Oryctolagus cuniculus: one gene and its partners. The protein of the gene in region 1 purifies or fractionates together with the protein of each later gene. This does not show direct contact. Links are inferred from orthologs where the notes say so. Each region holds a gene or a part of one and is shown in the gene's direction. Other genes may lie near its edges. The genes, in order: DNAJA2, PLD2 and LLGL1.

The links.
Region 2: the proteins of DNAJA2 (region 1) and PLD2 purify together in Homo sapiens (affinity purification with mass spectrometry; 3 studies listed by BioGRID and IntAct, with this or other methods). This does not show direct contact. The link is inferred for Oryctolagus cuniculus from reciprocal best matches to the Homo sapiens genes DNAJA2 and PLD2.
Region 3: the proteins of DNAJA2 (region 1) and LLGL1 purify together in Homo sapiens (co-immunoprecipitation; 3 studies listed by BioGRID and IntAct, with this or other methods). This does not show direct contact. The link is inferred for Oryctolagus cuniculus from reciprocal best matches to the Homo sapiens genes DNAJA2 and LLGL1.

Annotation. Positions count from the first base shown.
Region 1 is NC_091449.1:30,783,795-30,787,913, reverse strand, and holds the start of DNAJA2 (dnaJ homolog subfamily A member 2), read left to right. Parts: upstream 1-1,570; 5' UTR 1,571-1,760; coding exon 1,761-1,838; intron 1,839-3,271; coding exon 3,272-3,331; intron 3,332-3,589; coding exon 3,590-3,813; intron 3,814-4,119. UniProt on the Homo sapiens protein: Co-chaperone of Hsc70. Stimulates ATP hydrolysis and the folding of unfolded proteins mediated by HSPA1A/B (in vitro).
Region 2 is NC_091448.1:51,411,779-51,415,897, reverse strand, and holds the start of PLD2 (phospholipase D2), read left to right. Parts: upstream 1-1,341; 5' UTR 1,342-1,476; intron 1,477-1,928; coding exon 1,929-2,037; intron 2,038-2,127; coding exon 2,128-2,258; intron 2,259-2,349; coding exon 2,350-2,492; intron 2,493-2,856; coding exon 2,857-2,962; intron 2,963-3,051; coding exon 3,052-3,117; intron 3,118-3,211; coding exon 3,212-3,270; intron 3,271-3,395; coding exon 3,396-3,488; intron 3,489-3,577; coding exon 3,578-3,730; intron 3,731-4,119.
Region 3 is NC_091448.1:62,286,307-62,290,325, reverse strand, and holds part of LLGL1 (lethal(2) giant larvae protein homolog 1), read left to right. Parts: intron 1-228; coding exon 229-326; intron 327-2,209; coding exon 2,210-2,291; intron 2,292-2,383; coding exon 2,384-2,514; intron 2,515-3,709; coding exon 3,710-3,868; intron 3,869-3,947; coding exon 3,948-4,019. UniProt on the Homo sapiens protein: Cortical cytoskeleton protein found in a complex involved in maintaining cell polarity and epithelial integrity. Involved in the regulation of mitotic spindle orientation, proliferation, differentiation and tissue organization of neuroepithelial cells.

The DNA of each region.
Region 1 (4,119 bases):
ACAAAACGGCAGAGCCAGGCTACCAGTCTACACAATCTAACATTACCCCAACTTTTTAAACTCCTTCTTATGAACATGTCAAAGTGTGAAAAGGCATTGGAGAAATGGTATTTCACAGCAGTACATAAGCACAGAAAGATGATGATCAGCATTTAAACAATAAGGACATTCATGCATTTGAATTACTGAGGCCTTTATTGCATTCAAAGCCAGACCCTGTGGAATACAGAAAAGTGAATCTCCTCTAGGGTACCCTACAGCTATCCATGGAGTTCAGATGATCCCGTCAGAATACATCATCAGGTCACACAGCAGTGTCCACAAAGGCAAAAACGAACTGTTAGTGGGAACTCAAATCAGATAGTAGAGTTCACCAGGCTGGGATTTGAGGGAAAGGGAGGGTTCTTGGGAAGAGCATCCTAACTTATCAACGACTCCCCAGGCTTTTCAGGCTAAATTTCAAAGTCCTTCGTATGGCACTCAGGACTCAGCAACTAGGTCAGGGAGAATGCCAAGGAAGAAAGGCTATCCTGAGTGAGATGCCACCAGTTCAGGTTCCAGCTGATGAGCACATCTTATTTTTCTGTCTCCACAATGGTTTGAAGGAAGGCTTTTTTAACAGTCTCCTCCAACCACCCAGGCTTCTGCTTCTGTATATCTCAACACCAAGTATATGCACAGCCAACATTGTCCGAGCTAAGCTAAGGCAAAGTTAATCAACACACATCAACCACCAGGTGAATCTCCACACAGCCAGATTGCTACACACCACAAGGCTGGTGTTGGCTATTTTAAAGCTTTTTATCAAGAGATGTAAGCACGTGATCTCGATACAATGTGTGGCCTTGGGTTTGGATGTGGACGCCACATACCAACTGCAAAACGGACATGAGACAATCAGGGAAATACACCTATGGATTGGAATTAGATAAGGGAACTGCTAATTTCATTAACTTTGTGATGATGCCTTAAAGTCTTCTCAGGTATACGTGGGGGCTATAAAAGGGTCTTAGAAAAATAGAATTAAAAGATAAGGCACATTTCCCACCAACTCTTTTTAGCCCCCTGGTATACTCAGGATACATATGAATGAAATGGTTTCTCTTAAAACACTGGGAAGTACGGACTGAGGGACCGTGCGGGGTGGGGTGGGGGGATGAAACAAAACTGGTGAAAAGCAGCTACTTTTGATGAACACTACTTTTGGAGAATGGTTGAGGATTCCCGCAATTTTGAGACACACCCCAGGGGTGCTTTTTCATTTTAAATCCCGAAGGAACCAGACCCGAGGGTCCTCCGACAATCTGGACTCTGAGACTGACGCGAGACTCTTTCCCGCCAGACCCGAGGCTAAAGTAAGGGCGACCGCGGGCCTCTTATTCATCTCGGCCCTCAGGGCTGCGTTAAACACGCGGAGCCCGCGACGCACGCCTTCCGGGGTGGGCTGAGTTCCGCGTAAAGGTCCTCCTCGTTCTCTACGTCGGAACCCCAGCACCGCCTAGCCCTGGAGCAGACGGCGAGCACACGGCCCGCTCCGCACCATTCACAACCCAACGGCTCCGGCCCAGACGCTCGGGGGCGGGCCCGCGCAGTGACGTCACGGAGCGTCGTGCGCCGGGTCAAGGTTCAGCCCCGCCCCCGCTTCCCCCTCGCTGTCTCCCTCGGCCTGCGCCGCCGCCGCCGCCGCCACTGCTCGTGGGCCCGGCTTCGCTCTGTCCGCTTCGCCCCTTTCCTAGCTCAGCGCTGCCCGGCCAGTCACCATGGCGAACGTGGCCGACACGAAGCTGTACGACATCCTGGGCGTCCCGCCGGGCGCCAGCGAGAATGAGCTGAAGAAGGTAGTAGGGAGCGGGCCGGGCCGGGCCGGGCCGGCAGGATGTGTAGGGCGCGGGGCCTGCGCCGCCGGGACGGCTGGGGCAGGCCGCGCTGCGGGGCGGCTCGCGAGCCGGCGCCGGCCGCGGTGGGTCCAGGTTGGGGAGCGGCGGCGGGACCGGCCTCGCCGCGGGCCTCGCACGCCGGCCTCGGCTGACCTTGGGCCGCCGGCCCCGCCCGCCCGCAGATGCAGCAAATAAAACTCAGCCCTGCGCAAACACGCCGAAAACCCTTCCTGCCTCCCTCCCCCGGTGAGCGCCGGAGGCCGGTGCTCCCGGGAGGCAGCAGCCTGGCCGGCCCTCCCCGCGCCGAGGTCACCAACCCCGGAAAAACAGGTTGGACCGAGGTTTCCGGCGCATCCTGACTGGAGGGAGAGGCTGTCCGTCCGCGCGGCGGGGGTCGAGGCCGCTCCCGCCGGGTGCTGGGGTGCTGGGGCTTGTTTCCTGGGCGCCGTGGCTGCCGGCCTCGGGAGCTCCTCCCTCTCTTCCTCCATCAGTCATGGACCGGGCGGGAGCGTGGGTCTGCGTTGGGATGCTTTGTTCTCTGGGCAGGTAACCTACATGTTCCGTACCCACTTCTGGAATGAACCATGGGGTCCCAGCCAAGCACCTGAGTGGACACTGCCTAAAAATAAATGGAAGGCCTCATTGCCGCCCTGTGCAGTGCTGCGCCGGCTTTCATCTCGGGATTTCAAAGCGGTTAGGGCGTTTAATTAAGCCCCACAGCATCCTCCCGGGCTTAGAGTGCCCGTATTTGTAACCTGAGAGAAACGAGAATGCTGCTCAGTGGGACGGGTACAGCTGAGAGTAAGATGGACTTCCTGTTACCTTACCGGAAATGCACGTCTGTTATATAATTCATGAGTCTGTGTGAATGGAGACCTGAGTCCCGGCCACCGAGTTGAGGATGTAGGCAAGTTTCCTGCCTCCTCGCTGTAGCCCCTAATTACCCACCAGGCAGGCCTTCCCTTGGTTTTTCCCTGTTGTGCGAGAGAGAGGAGGCTGCAGCCTTCATGGGCAGGGGTTTTTATTTTAAATTATAGTAATGTTTTGCGGTCTGTGGAGCGTACCAGTCGTTTTTCTAGAATTGATTTGAGTCTTGGTCTGGTTACTGGCCATCAAAGACATTTGACAGTGCAAATACGGGATAATATCTTAACATTTTTTCTTTTGGTGTCTTTTGCTTCAGTAGAAGCTATTTTCAAGGACAGCTACTGACTACTTTGTAACGTTAGTGAGTCAACCATGCTGAGCTGGGCAGCACATGGATAGGGGATATTTTTGGAAGGTTACCACTTCAGAATATTGCTTTTCCTAAAAGTAGATATTAAGTTAGTTATCACAAGTATTTAAACTGGTGCTTGTGTATAATCCTTTCTTAATTTTTTTTTTTTTTTAAGGCATACAGAAAATTAGCCAAGGAATACCATCCCGATAAGAATCCAAATGCTGGAGACAAAGTAAGTTACTTGGAAATTTTTCTGTTCCTGTGGTTTTCATTTTAAATTTAATTGTCCTTAGAAAAAGGATTGTTGCGGGGGAAAGTTCACCTATGCTCATAGAATAAGAGTATTTTAGTATCAAGATATGAGTACTAACATTTTGAGCAGAGGTAGAATCAAACCAAAGGGAACATGTAGCTTTTATTGAGGTTAAGTGGATTCTAGGTTTTTATAGAAATAAACCCATTTATTTTATTTTTTACTTTTTCTCTATAGTTCAAAGAAATAAGCTTTGCATATGAAGTTCTATCAAATCCCGAGAAGCGTGAATTATATGACAGATATGGAGAACAAGGGCTTCGGGAAGGTAGTGGCGGCGGTGGTGGCATGGATGACATTTTCTCTCACATTTTTGGTGGGGGATTGTTCGGCTTTATGGGCAATCAGAGTAGAAGTCGAAACGGCAGAAGAAGAGGAGAGGACATGATGCATCCACTCAAGTAAATATCTTTTCCTTTTTTTAAACAAAAAATAAAATACCCTTTTGGGTGGCATTAGAAGAGAAAAAGTATTGTAAAATGTTCATGGGGAGGTATCCATTTGCCCTACTGTCTTCATTGTCTATATGCTGTTGCAGCTCTTAAAAAGGATGCTTGGTATTTTTCCCTGAGTAGGAAGAGGGTTTGTTACGTAGTGTGGCTGCTTGTTATTAGGTGATTTAAAATTCGAAGTATAAAGATGATTTTCTTTGGAGTATTTAATTCCTCCAAGTAACTTTTTGCTTCAAAACTAAGTGAAAGCATAGT
Region 2 (4,119 bases), on another chromosome or scaffold:
ACTCTCACATGTTGGCCATTGTAGAATATCTGGAACTACTGAAGATTGTGGAAAACAACTTGGCGGTTTCATGTAGGTTAAACATACACTTATATAACCCAGAAACCCGACTGCTTCATTTTTGATCCAGCTCCCTGATAATGCAACTGGGAAAGCAGCAGGTAACTGCCCAAGTGCTTGGGCCCCTGCCATCCATGTGGGAGACCTATATGGATCTCCTGGCTCCTGGCTTGAGCCTGGCCCAGTCTTAGCTGTTGTGGCCATTTGGAGAGTGAACCAGTGGATAGAAGATCTATCTCTCCTTCTTGCTATTTCACTCAGCCTTTCAAATAAATTAAACCTTTTAAAAAAGTTAACTATCAAGGGCCTGACTTCGTGGCATAGAGGGTAAGGCTGCTGCCTGCAACACTGCCATCCCATCTGGGTGCCACGTCTTGTCCTGGCTGCTCCACTTTGAATTCTGCTCCCTGCTAATGGCCTGGGAAAAGCAAAGGAAGATGGCCCAAGTGCCACCTACGCGGGAGACCCTGATGAAGCTCTTGGCTTCCCCCTGGCCCAGCCCAGACCATCTGGGATCTCCCTCTCTGTTAACTCTGACTTTCAAATAAATAATATATTTTAAAAATTGAATCTAGCGTGTTGGCCATTGTAGAATACCTGGAACTACTGAAGCTTGTGGAAATGTGAAAATTGTGGAAAACGACTTGGCAGTTTCTTGTAGGTTAAACATACACTTATATGACCCAAAAACCCTACTGCTATTTACTCAAGAGAAATAAAAGCCACACAAAGACTTATACAGGAATGTTTATAGGAGTTTTATTCAGAGCAGTCAACTAGAAACAATCCAACCGTCCATCAGGAGTAGATAAAGCAACCTGCTTAGCTTAAAAAACAGAAATGTAACAAAATGTCATTTTCCCTGGACTGTCCTTGTTTAAAAGTTCAGAGTCTACCACGGAGCAGGCGCGCAATAAATGTTTGGTGAATGAATGTAAGGGTGCATTTCCCCTCATCCCCTCCTTCTACAAACGCTCTCCGGGAAAAGGAGGCACCTGCAGGTGCCCCCGCGGAAGCGCGGCCAGCCTGGGGCCCGAGGCAGCGCAGCTGGTGGAGAGGCCAGCGCGGAGGGACGCGCGCGGTTGGAGCGCACACTGGGTGGCGACCGGGTGCCCTCGGACCGAGGGCACAGCCAGGCTGGGCGAAGGCGGCCCCCGGGCGGTGGGAGGTCCCCGGTCTCGCCGGGCCGGGCCGGGCCGGGCCGGGGCGGGCCGAGGGCGGCGAGGGCGGCGGGGGCGGGACGCGCTAGGCGAGAATCCCGCGGAGGGGAGGCCGGGGCCCGTCCCGCCCCCGAGGGCAGGCCCGAGCCCCGGCCCCGCCCCGGCCCGCTGGGGTGTGGGCACCGGCTCCGGCTCGCGTTCGCCTCCGCTTCCCTCGGCTCGCGAAACCGCGCGGGCGCCGGCTGGAGCTGCCAGGGTGAGGGGGCCGGGCTGGGGGCGCCGCGGGGGTGTCGCGCCCCGGAGAGCGGGCGGGGACGAGACCGGCTGCGACCGGCGGGGGCCTCTGACTCAGCCGCACGCTCAGATTGCAGGAATCTTCTCCCGGGCAAGGAGCGCGCAACTTCCTCATTCCCGCCGGGACCCCCGCGCTCGGCCGGCCTGGCCCGGCCCGAGCCGCGTTGGCCCCGCGCTCTCTGGTTTCTGCGCTGCCCTAGTTCGGGACATCCGGGCTGGGTTGGGTGTACCCCGGGGGCTCCGGTTCGCGAGAGGGCGGAGTTGAGGGATCCTGCATCCTGGGGTAGGGGATGGAGGTTCTAGCCGCGTCACGGGGAGGTGGCCGGGCAGGAGGAGGTGAGAGGCGCAGGTGCGAGGCTGGGGGGTGGGACCTGCAGGGCTGATCGCCCCCCTGAGGCGGCCCCGCATTCCTAGATGACGGCGACCCCCAGGAGCCCCTTCTCCTCTGGGGACGACCTGGACTCCAGCCAGTTACAGATGGAGCCGGATGAGGTGGACACGCTGAGGGAGGGAGAGGACCCAGGTACTCAGGATCAAGGCCCCCGGGGGAGGGGAGCCGGGGAGGGCTGGGGCCCTCCTGGGGGCTCCAGTCTTGGACTTTGTCTCCTCCCAGCTGACCGGATGCACCCCTTTCTGGCCATCTACGACCTTCAGCCGATGAAAGCGCGCCCCTTGGTGTTCGCCCCTGGGGTCCCTGTCACAGCCCAGGTGGTGGGCACCGAAAGATACACCAGTGGATCCAAGGTGGCCAGGCAGGCCCCGGGGTGGGGGGGTGGGGTGGGCGTGGCTTTGGCCAGAGGGGAGGGGACATGGATTCAGCGACTCACATCCTCAGGTGGGAACCTGCACTCTGTATTCAGTCCGCCTGACGCACGGTGACTTTACCTGGACGACCAAGAAGAAGTTCCGTCATTTCCAGGAGCTGCACCGGGACCTCCTGAGACATAAAGTCCTGATGAGTCTGCTCCCCCTGGCCCGGTGAGGGGAGCCCAGCTGCATGGGGAGGGCAGACGCCCCTCGACCCGCGGCAGCCATTGCTCCTTTCTGTGCAGCCCACCCCCAGGCACCTCCCGGCCCCCAACTCCCCTGACCCTGGTTACTAGGAAACTTGCCCTGCTCAGCTCTCCCTGGCTGCGGTTTCGTGCCAACATCTCAGCTGGGCTGGGTGCCCAAAGTGGCCTTGGCAGCCTCTCCAATCCCAGGACAGGGAGGTCTGCCTTGTGCCAGCCCCCTGACCTCCTCCCAGACCCCAGCAGCCCAGCCTGCCAGTGCCTTTGCCCCCACCTGCGCCTCCACACCAGGCTTGGGACAGGGCCTGACCCGCACCCCATCCCTTCCGCAGCTTCGCTGTTCCCTCTTCTGTGACCCGAGAGGCCACCAACAGAGAGATGCCCTCTCTACCCCGAGCAGGTCATGAGGGCTCCAGCAGACACACAGCCAGCAAGCAGGTGCGGCAGACACCTGGTTCCCTGGGAAGGCGTCCCTCTGTGCACGTGGCTCTGGTCCCACCTGTTTCTCTTTCCCATTCCCACTTCAGAAATACCTGGAGAATTACCTCAACCGCCTCTTGACCATGTCCTTCTACCGCAACTACCACGCCATGGTGAGGTCCCCGAGGGGACGATGGGCCTGGGTCCACGGGGCCACGAGGGACCAAAGGCCAGGGGGCTCCTCTGCACTTTCGTCTTCCTCTGCAGACAGAGTTCCTGGAAGTCAGTCAGCTGTCCTTTATCCCAGACCTGGGCTCCAAAGGATTGTGAGTGTGGAACACCCCTCCCCCAGCCGTCTGCAGCCCTCACTCCCCAGCCCTTCCCGCCTGAGAACGGGGCGGGCAGGGGGCTGCAGCCCTCATCCAGCGTCTCTTCCTGGTTGTCCCCACAGGGAGGGCGTGATCCGGAAGCGCTCGGGTGGCCACCGCGTCCCTGGCCTCACCTGCTGTGGCAGAGACCAAGTTTGTTATCGCTGGTCCAAGAGGTGGGGGTGGGGACTGAGCAGCTGAGCGGGGGCTGGGGGTGAGGAAGGGGAGCTGGCGGGCAGGGAGGAACCGGAGCCCTTCCGTCCAGGTGGCTGGTAGTGAAAGACTCCTTCCTGCTGTACATGACCCTGGAGACCGGCGCCATCTCCTTTGTTCAGCTCTTCGACCCGGGCTTCGAGGTACAGGTGGGGAAGAGGAGCACAGAGGCACGGTATGGGGTGCGCATCGACACCTCCCACAGGTGAGGGCTCCCCGGGGTGAGGGGACCCAACCTGCCACCCTCAGGGGGGTTCATGCGGGGCCGGGGGACTGTGGCAGAGAGGAAGGGAAGGCTTTTCCAGTGCCTGGGATCCAAGTAGTTTTGAACCTGGGAACTGGTCCAGCCACATGCTTGGGATGCTCTTACAGTCTGGGGCCAGAGAGAGCAGCCCCTGTAAGCCGGAGCGGGGGTGGGGGGGAGGGTGGGGGGGGCGTGCTCCCAGTGGAAGAGAAGCTCCCTTCTCATTTGCTCATTTGACGAACCTGAGTGCCTGAGCCAGGGCTGCTTGCTGGGCCCCGGCCAGGAGTTAAGTGTAGCCTGGCCCCACGGAGTCCTGATTAAGGACTAAGGGAGGAAGTAGGAAAAGGCTG
Region 3 (4,019 bases), on another chromosome or scaffold:
GTCGCGGGGTGGGGGGGTGGGGCACTGAGGGAACCGGGGCTTGAGGTGGGTGGGCCTCAGGGCCGTGCACGCAGCAAAGTCATGTAGCATGGTGCTCCCAACCCCCCCCCTCCACCGACTGGAAGGCCTTGGGGCACGAGGAGCAGGTGAGCCTGGCTCTGGGCCCCCGTGTCGATGGCAGAGCCCGGCGGCCACCTGGGGCCTGAGCGTGCGTCCCCTCTCTCGCAGACTGTGGAGCATGGCTTCCCCAACCAGCCCAGCGCCCTGGCCTTCGACCCCGAACTCCGCATCATGGCCATCGGCACCCGGTCCGGGGCTGTCAAGATGTATCCTCCGCGGCCTGGAGGTGGGCCGGAGCCTGTTTGGGAGCACCCAGCCCTGCGGAGCCCAGCTCGGGAGCGAGGGCGAAGGCACTGAAGCCGAGTGCTGGGGTCCTGGAGCAGGCTGGGGCCTGGAGCACATCTGTGGACGCGTAGGGAGACAGGGTGATGGGGGGCGGGGTCAGTTTACAGTGGCCACAGCTGTCCCTCACTGCTTCGGTCAGCTGGTTACCTAGGCAACCCTGCCACCATCCCAGCAGCTGTGAGCAGGGTGGCCTGGCCGGTGGGGCTGGGCTGTGGTACCTGTTGAGGGTGGCAGGTGGACCGGGGGGCCCTGGCGAGTGGGCACACACACGTGGGCGAGTGTGAAGACGCATGTGTTCGGGGAGGGGGCTGGGGGCAGTGCCAGGCTGGGCATGGCGGACGCAGCAGGGCCCCCACCTGGATCCTGGCAGCCGCACAATGGGTTGTGTGAGCTGCACAAAGCCCGCATTTTCCCGGCAGGGCCCGGGCTGGGGGCAGGGTGGGGGGGGCGGTGGCCGGCTGTTGAATGCCTCCTTGCCTGCCCTGGAGAAGCCCACCCCGGCGGCCCTCAGGCAGACCGAGGTGCGGGTCTCAGGAGGGTGCCCACCCGTGCCCCTCGGCCTCATTTACCTACGTGTGGACGTTCACTGGCAGAAAACCGGGCAGTGCCTGGAAAGGGGAGGGCGTGGGATAGAAGGGTCTCAGCCCGGGCTGCTGGTGCTGGCCGGGGTTGGGGGGGGGGCGTCGGGGCCTGTGTTTTGCCAGCTCCGTGGCTGGGCTGGGGTGTCCCTTCTTCTCCCGTGGGCTGCTGCGACCCTACACCTGGCCTCGGAGCACCCACTCCCTGGCCTGCTGCTCCCGACCCTCTTGGGCGAGAGCTGCCTCCACGGGTGAGGCCTGCAGCCGAGAGGCTGTCCCAGAGCCTGGTGCTGGGCTGTCTGGCGGGGGCGGCGCGGGGGGGGTGTCCTGAGCTGCCCCTCCTGGGTGGTGTGCCTCAGGCTCACAGAGAACCTGGGGTACGATGCAGAAACCCCCTCAGAGAGGAGGCTGGAACCCTGGCTCTCTGGGCCTCCCTTCCTCCCGCTGCAGCTAGCACAGCCTGGAGCCCTTGCCTGCGGCAAACTGAGGCTGCAGGGGCTGGCCCCGGGCCCCAGGAGCCGCCCCTCCCCCTGCGAGGCGGCCCGTCTCCTTGGCGACCCTGACTCCCGCCCAGCTGCTCCTGTTCCCTCTTTTGTCCCCTCCTCTGTGTACCCTGCCAGGCTCCAACTCCAGGCAACAGCTTCTGCCTTGTTGCTGGGGCAACGTTGCTGACCCCTCCCTAAAGCCCTCCTCGGGTGGGGGGGGCTGCCGGCAGTCCTGGGCTGCTGGGCACTCGGAGTCACCGGATCCCTCCAAGGCGCTGTCTGTACCTCTGCCTAGTGGGCCGCCTGGGGCGTCGCCCCTTCCTCTTGGCTCCCTGCCCTCGAGTTTGGCCTGAAGCTGCAGGGAGAGGCAGCCTGGACTCCTCTGCCCTTGGGCTTCCTCCCCGGGCCTGGCCCTGCACCCCCGGCCTGCACCACGCGGCTCTCAGAGCCCACACAGCACACCCGCGGCTGAGATGGAGTGGAGCCGCTGCCGGGTGTGCGCCACTTCTGGGCCAGCAGCCAGAGCAAGTGGGAGTCATGGGCCCATTTTACAGATGAGGAGGTGAAGGTCCCACTAGTGGAGCTTGGGGATCCCTTGGGGGGGACAGGATGGGAGCTGCTTCGGGAAGGGGGCCCACTAGGCCTTCGGAGGACCTTGGTGGGCGGGCTCCTAAGAAGAGAAGGCCTAGGGTGCTCCCTGGTCTGTGCCTGCTGGGTTTTGCCCTTGACCGTCACTCTCAGCTACGGTGCGCCCGGCGTGGAGTTCACCGGCCTGCACCGGGACACAGCCACTGTCACCCAGATGCACTTTCTGCCGGGCCAGGTGAGCCTCTGCCCCCACCTTTGTAGCCCCCCACCCCTGTCCCACCTCGCTCCCCCCAGGCCAGCCCAGTTTCGGTCTCTGGTCCCCCCCAGGGCCGCCTCCTGACCCTGTTGGACGACAGCAGCCTGCATCTCTGGGAGATCGCCCACCATGATGGCTGCGCCCACCTGGAGGAGGCGCTCAGCTTCCAGCCACCCAGCCGGTCCGGCTTCGACGGTGCCAGGTACCGGAATACTGGGCCGCGGCCAGCTCCCGGCGGGGATTGAGGGGAGTCCCGGGGACTGTGGTGTGGGTCCGAGGCGCCCTGAGCCCGGCCTGGCCCCAGAGTGGCAGTTGATGGAGGTGTGCTCCGTGGACGTTTTGGGCCTGATGGGAGGTTGCTGTTGAACCGCAGGCGAGAGGCAGGCTGTCTGCTCCCTGACCGCGAGAGCCGCACCAGCTGCAAGTGCCAGGAAGTGCCCAGGCCTGAGGGCCGGCCCTGCCTCCCTGCCGTGGCGGGGATGTCAGGCGGTTCGGGCAAAGCTCCCCTGGCCACTTGGGTCGGGAGTGGGCAAGGAGCCTTTTGCCCATAGACGAAAGGGCTGGTTTGGGGTCGAGCAGGGTCCCGGGGGCCCACGGGATGGCCCAGGCCTGACCCTGGGGTAAAAGTATAGGGGGTTGGCCGGCGCCGCGGCTCACTAGGCTAATCCTCCGCCTTGCGGCGCCGGCACACCGGGTTCTAGTCCCGGTCGGGGCGCCGGATTCTGTCCCGGTTGCCCCTCTTCCAGGCCAGCTCTCTGCTGTGGCCAGGGAGTGCAGTGGAGGATGGCCCAGGTGCTTGGGCCCTGCACCCCATGGGAGACCAGGAAAAGCACCTGGCTCCTGGCTTCTGCCATCGGATCAGCGCGGTGCGCCGGCCACAGCGCGCCGGCCGCGGCGGCCATTGGAGGGTGAACCAACGGCAAAGGAAGCCCTTTCTCTCTGTCTCTCTCTCTCACTGTCCACTCTGCCTGTCAAAAAAAAAAAAAAAAAAAAAAAAAAAGTATAGGGGGCCTCTCCTTCCGCAGCCCTGCTGGAGTGGGGAGCCCTGACCCTCCAGCGGGGTCCTGCAGTGGGGTCCCATCCGCAGGCCTGCCCGAGGTTCCAGGTCCGGGCTTGGATTGCCTGGCCTCCCGCTGGGCAGGGGGGGCCCAGGCCTGTCTGCGAGACCGGGGGAACCTATTCTTATTCCTCTCTGCGCCGACATCCTGATGAATGATTGAGCAGGCTAATCACACCACACCGGGGCCTTCCTGGGGTGCCGGCCCGCCCCATAAGTAGGCCCCAGGCAGCAAGGAGGGTGCCTATAATGAGCGGACAGGGGCGGCCCAGCCCCCGTCACAGCCTTCCCTGGCAGGTGGACAGACCTGCCCTCACCCCTACCCCTCCCACCACTGCAGTCCCCCGCCCAGCCTCACCCGAATCACGGTGGTCCTGCTGGTGGCTGCTGGCGACACGGCGGCCTTGGGCACCGAGGGTGGCGGTGTCTTCTTCCTGGATGTACCCACCCTGACGCTGCTCGAGGGGCAGACCCTGGGTCCCGACGAGATTCTGCGCAGGTGAGAGGCGGGGAGGTGGGCCTCCCGGTTCCCGCTGGGGGCCGGAAGCCGTGCCGGCTCACCCGAGCGCTCCCTGCAGCGTGCCGGAGGACTACCGGTGCGGGAAAGCGCTCGGCCCCGTGGAGTCGCTGCAGGGACACCCTGGGGACCC